2 linked regions of the Drosophila melanogaster genome follow. The protein of the gene in region 2 interacts with the protein of the main gene of each other region in a pairwise test. Each region holds a gene or a part of one and is shown on either strand. Other genes may lie near its edges.

What was found.
Region 1: the proteins of CG17470 (region 2) and robl22E interact in a two-hybrid assay, tested with the Drosophila melanogaster proteins (one large-scale study listed by BioGRID).

Annotation. Positions count from the first base shown.
Region 1 is NT_033779.5:2,289,532-2,292,551, forward strand, and holds robl22E (robl22E), read right to left. Parts: upstream 1,208-3,020; 5' UTR 1,173-1,207; intron 1,168-1,172; exon of another isoform or gene 1,112-1,167; 5' UTR 1,092-1,111; coding exon 798-1,091; 3' UTR 693-797; downstream 1-692.
Region 2 is NT_033779.5:20,641,791-20,645,280, forward strand, and holds CG17470 (uncharacterized protein), read right to left. Parts: upstream 1,455-3,490; 5' UTR 1,315-1,454; coding exon 667-1,314; 3' UTR 516-666; downstream 1-515. Other genes in the region: phr6-4 ((6-4)-photolyase), read right to left, coding at 1,855-2,810, 2,874-3,490.

The sequences.
Region 1 (3,020 bases), about 18 Mb from region 2:
AGGAAACAGGAAAAGCAGCTGCAGAAAATAGCTACATCGATGTAGATCATGGTAAAGTGCATTTAGTCATTAGGCTAATGAAGTTAAGGCTCTAGGATCGAGGTGAAAAATAACTTATCCACTTTTCTGCCCCCCTTTTGCGGTGTCTCGAATTGATGGCTGCGACAGTAGTGCTCTATATCCTGCCACAACTGTTCATGAAGTTATCTCGAGTGAATAGTTTCGTCCTGCACCGGTGGATAGATGGATTGGCATCGATGTCCTGGCCTCCCGAGAGGCGCCCGTGTGACTTTACCAAGTTATCTGCTTGGTTTTTGCCTCGCCCACTGCTCATAATGCACTTTGCATGTAAAATATTTAATTAAATGAAAAATAGCAAAGCCCAGAGGAGGAACCTCCACTTCGGTGGCCGTGGCATCCGTATCCCTACATGCTCGCATCCTGGCGAGGCCGCAAAAAAGTTTATTTGTTTCGTGGCTGCCTCAGTCAGTCTTCATTTATTGTAAATGAGTTTGCCCGGACAGGATGCCGGGTTTCGTGGGGTAAAGGATCCATGCATATCGTATATGTATGCATGCGGGCCAAAGGATGCATATCGAATAAGAGTGCTCCGCACGCAAGTGACATTCCAATTCAATTGCGATTCCCAATGCAAATAATTTGCAACTGAATGCTATTAATGACGAAATGCTGGTGTGCGAAATCGAGACTATGCCGAGTATTTTAATAACATTTACTGAACACTCTGCCTGAAAATAATTGCCAGCGGAATGAGCTTGGGCCTGGAATATTGTGCTCTAGTCGCACGGGCTCTGGATCACCATGATGAAGTAATCTTCCTGCGGGCACAGCATCACCTCATTCTGCTCAGTCCGCAGCCGCAGGAAGGTGAATTCGTTGGTGGCGTCCAGATCCAGGACCACCTGGCGAGCCTTCTCCCGCACCGTTTGCATCAGTGCCGCGTAGTGGAGTGTCAGAGTGTAGTCCAGGGTCGTTTTGATCGGAATGCCGTCGTTGTCCACCACAACTATGCCGGTGACGTTCTTCATGGACTGAAAGCGCTTCAATAGTTCCTCCACTTCGGCGGACATCCTTGCGTCTATTCGATTACCTTATTAGAGAAATTTCGATGCAAAGAAGGTGTTCGTTCTGCTACTACAATACAACCATACATGCAAATGAATGAAAGCTCCGGGCATACTTGAAGTAACTCACTCACTTCACTAAATATATTTTCAAATTTAATCAGACTACTCGTTAGCATAGTTCACAATAGTTTAATACTAAGAAATATTCCCCATATTACAACTAACTTTGCATATTTCCATTTGATATCCGTATAATTGAGGCTGCTTTGTCATCTGTCGGGTTCATTTCATTTGCCAGTTTAACGAGTCGATACAAGTTTTATGATGTTCGGCATAATCCGGGAGATTCTGGCGCTGTTGTGTCCGTAAATAAGCATTCAAGTTGGCAACAATGCCGGATGTCGGACTGCAAAAGTTTCGCTTTTGTGGATGGCAGAAGTACGGAAAATTAATTGAATGCTGTTGATGCTGCCAGTGCCCCTGCCTTGGCTCCTGATCCGGATTCCGATTCCGATTCTGTTCCTGTTCTGGCTCCTGCTCTCCGGACCACTCGAAATGCAGATGCAGATGAAATGTTTGCATCAAGTTCGAGGCGGTGCGGAAATTATGCCACTCTTCCGGTTCGTCCAGACTACGCCAGACAAAAGCCGGACTACTGAGGACTACGGAATGCAATGCGGACTCCGGCCGGAGTTGTTATGAAAAAGAGTGCAAAATTGTTCACTTTTTAAATTAATTAAAAGTCTTAAAACTCATAATGAAATTACTCAAACGGGCAGAGGGCAGGCGGACATACAGATACGTAAAAGGATTTGGCCAGTGTATATGCAAATTGCTGGCCAGACTTGGGGGAAATTAAACTTCTTATTCGACTTTTGGCCGGCAAGGAAATTCATTTGGTAATTAAATCAATGTCCATGTGAAAAACCTCAAATGCAATTTGTCATGCAATGCCGGAGAATTGAAAATGCGGAAAATGCGCTTCTAACTGCGTTAAATGGGGCTGGAAATGGGCGGGAAAATGTGAAGACCGACTATGCATTTTATTGCATATTTGTTGAATAAATAGTTAGTTTTGCACGGTGGGCGAACATAAAAAAAAGCAACACAAATATCCCAACTCCAATCCAACAGGACTCGGAGTCACAGCCAGAACCAGAGTCCTTGATCCTGTTTGGCTGTTGACTCTCGCTCACCAAACTAAAGCTGAAACATTTACAAATGTTTTTGCAATCTGCAATATGCAACCAGCAAACACACTCGCTTTTCAGTGGCTACAAAGTCAGGTGGAACACAAAAACATGTTTTTGGCGGACAAAGCAATTTGGCCAGTCTGTTGGCGATTGGTGTATTTGTTTAATGGGAAAATATGCTGCAATGTACGTAATTTGATATTTATGAAAACAAGTTTGTCCTTCGCATTTAATAATAATTCGAGTGCGTTATTTATGCATACAATTCGGTCCGACATAAATCACATTAAATTTTCCCGGCCCTTCCGACACTCGGCTTTAAAATGTTGCCAAAGAAATACTTTGGCACTGACATTCGAGCGATTTAAGTGTGCGCGCAAATACATTTTATTTCGATGATATTTGACTCGTTTAATGAATCCGTAATTAATTGCCAATTAATTCATTTTTTTTTTTATCAGTTTATCATTCATCTGGCACTTCCTCCGCTTTGTCACCTCTCACATCCTGCATTCGTTGCATTTGCATAAGGCCGTTTAATAAATCATAATTTGTTAATCAACGAATCGTTGGCCGTATTTGGACACTCTTGCAAATATTTCAACAATGCCGCAAGGTGATAATGAGATCAACAGAACAGGACCAACATGCCAACCGATCCAGAGGCCTTCGATTTCAAGTGGCAAATTCGAGTAAGTGAATTACGAGCCAGGACAAGTTAATGAGAATCGTATTTCAT
Region 2 (3,490 bases):
CTACGCCCACGGCCACACCCACGCCCACTGCCACGCCCCGCAGGCAAAACCGCAAATTCAATTTTGGTTTAGAGCCTACAAACATTTTGCAGCGTGTTTATGTCCGGCTGCATTGTTGCGAGTAGTTTTCGCTCCTGGCCCGCTTTTAATGCAATTTATGGGAAGTGTTTGCCCCGGATTCGGTTGCCACTGACCACAAAGCGATCTTTTGTGATATGGAGAGTGGATGTGGATGTAGGCGCGGGGCATGGGGTATGGGGCATGCGGCATGTGGCATGGGTGGGTTAAAATAGTGGTCGCGGTCTCTAGTTGGGTTTTCATTAAAGCATGACCGGTTGCCAACTGACAGTTCTTAGTGGCCATGTCCGCATCATAATCGTCAATCGAACTTTGGACAAATTTGCAATTTTGCAGATTGCGGATGCGAGTCCATATGGTCGCATTTCTATCTAGATCAGGCAATAAGGCTAAATTTTAGTTTACAGATTAATGAAGCAAAGAAAAAAGTAAAATTTCTATTAACTGAACATATAAATATGTTTTTTTTTATTACATCAATGCTAGTGCTTCCTTTTACCGAAAACCTATTGAATACGCTAAAAAATTGGAATAGTCGCAAGCGGAAGTCGTCCAAAAAAATCCTTAAGAATTTTGGAACCAGTTTTTCTACTTGTCGTATCGAACCAGGCGCGTGTCGTCGCCGACCTCCTCCAGATCCTTTGGATCGCGGCGGAAGCGATAAGTGCCGACATCCTGGTTGGCCGATTCCGGCAACGTCACCTTGATGCCCTTGTACTCGGTTCGACCTTCCCTGACCTCCGGCACCCGCAGCTCCATCTCGGCCTTGTACTCGTCATCGTTACCAATGTCCACGTCCTGGACGTTCTTTTGCACGGTGGGATCCTCCTCGTCCTGGTTCCAGCCATCAATCTCGATGGGGACAATGGGGTTGCCGTCGACGCCTACGACGGAACTAGGTGCGCCAGTAGGCAGGATCTCCACGGTATCTCCAGAAATCGGATTCTCTGCTGGTGGCGACTCAACTGCATCCGCGTCCACTATGTTGGTCACCTCTTTGAATGGAGTATGGTCCATCAATGTCAGCGAATTGACGAAATTGCGATTAAACTCTACGTCAGTCTTGGCCATCTCATTTATATTGATATCTATCACGGTCACGCCATCGATGTTCCGCGGACGGTCAATGGTGAGGCAAGTAAGACCAGTAGACATTTTGGAGTGCAAGGTCGAGCGGGCCACACGGACACGGTGCAGCGCCAGCTGATTCCTCAGCATCGAAAGATTGCGAAACATGGTTTTTGTCGGTGTTTCGAGTGCGGAAACTAACTACCCAACAGAACAAAAACCGAAGTTAAATTTAAAAAACGTTCTTATTTACAAACAAAAATTGGAAGGTCTTATGTTGCCGAAATTTTAGATATGACTAAAATTCCCAGCTAAACCCGACAACTGACAAATCTCGATTGTGAAGGAAGTTAAAGGCCAGGCTACACTGGTTACTGATAATTACTGAAATTGAAATATAAATGAAATCACTATCGCCGTATCAATATCTTTATTGGTGCATTTTATGTGAAGTACACAAGCGTTTAAACATATTCTTTTGTCACCCTCTTATACCTATTGACAACTCGAACATTCCAATTCCAATTCCAATTCCAACAAATACTATATACTCGTTTTATACCTAAATTTCGGTAGGGTAACAATCAAGAAGTTTATAGATTTATACCTAAAATAGTACATAAAACAATTCTTCCATCCTTAATTCATATTAGCTCACTCCGTAGATCTAACTACCTTTTACATAAGGTAGCGAACAAATTTTAGGTTTTAACGTTTTCGCTTAGGGGCACTTCCGGTTGCCCTTCGCACCTTCCGCTTGCCAGACGTGGAGGTTTCTGATTTCTCCTCGAAAGACGACTCCTCCTCCTTGCCAGTGCGCACCTCCCGATTTACTTTGTAGGCGGCGCCCATTCTCTTAATGTTCTCCTTGTGCACCACTTCGTGTTTAACAATCCGGTGGGGATAATCCGTGCCGAGGACGCAGCCGTATGCCCGCTGATCCACCAGCGACGCCTTCCAGGGCTCATAAATACAGCCAGCAGGATATTTTGAGAGTTCCGGCACATACTTCCTGATATAGTGCCCTTGGGGATCCGTTTTCTTGCCAAACGCCACCGGACTGTAGACGCGAAAATACTGGTGAAAGAAAGCGGACGCAGATAGCCACATCCAGTTGCCAGCGTTTAGTGCCCAGTCCTGATCCAGCAGCAGCTGCTCGAACACCCGCTGTCCCTCCTCCCAACTGATCCAGAGGTCTCCGCGCGTTAAGAAACATGCCACTGCATGCCGGGCCAGATGATGGATCCAACCCTCCTGGCGCAGCTGACGCATGATGGCGTCGATGAAAGGATATCCTGTGCGTCCGTGTGTCCAGGCCTCCAAGTGATCTGGATGCTCCTGCCACGGAATTTGCATGCAGTATACATTGCCCAACATTCGATCGAAATTGGGTTCCGCAGCCGCCACTGTGTAGTAAAATTCCCTCCACATGAGTTGTCCAATGAGCGAAACGGGCGGCTGCGAGTGCTTCGGCTGGCGTTTGATAATTTCCTTGAGCTTTTGATTGAACAGTCGGGCACTAAGGCATCCAAATTTGAGGTAAGGGCTTAGTACGGTAGTGCTAGGCTCCAGCGAGTTGGGTGCCGTGTTGGGCTTCTCAAAGCGGGCAACCCAAATTTCATCCTTTAGGGATTCCTCCATGCGGCGCAGTGCCTCTGTTTCGCCTGTTTGATAAAAAGAAATCCACATTGTTGTAGTTGTGATCAAGAGTTTAACTATGTTTTTACCTCCCGGAAACTTATTAGGGCCCAGTTCCTCCGGGCGTTTTACTAATTGCTTCATCGTAGGACAATCATAGGCCGCCGAATCCTTTTGCTCCACCTCATCTTTGGGTGGTGTAGGCATGTTTTTAAGCTTTTCAGGAACCCCTAGAACTTTAGGTACCTTTAGTTGCTCCACAATGCCCAGGAACTTTTGATAGGTAATTGGAGCCTTGCCAAGATTCTTCGCTATTACTAATTCCGGATTATAAATCGTGTGGGAGCAATGAGTTTCCACTCTCACACCCTCTGCCTTGGCCAACTTCTGCACGGCAGCATCCCGGGTCACGGAGTACGGCTCGATATCTGTCTCAAAAGTTAGCATTTCCACGCGCCAACTCTTAAAAATACGGGGAAAAACCTCTGCGGGCTTCCCGCGCACCACAAACAGACGGGAATTAAGTTTCCGAAGCTGGTTATCCAAGTCCTCCAGCGTTTGCTGCAGGAATCGCCATCGATTGGCACCCACTTGCATCCAATCGAGGATTCCTGGATCCAAAATGAAAATCGGGCGAACAAAGTATTTTCCTGGAGCAGCGTTAGCGGCGGTAAAAATGTGCGATAATGCCGGATTGTCGTGCAAC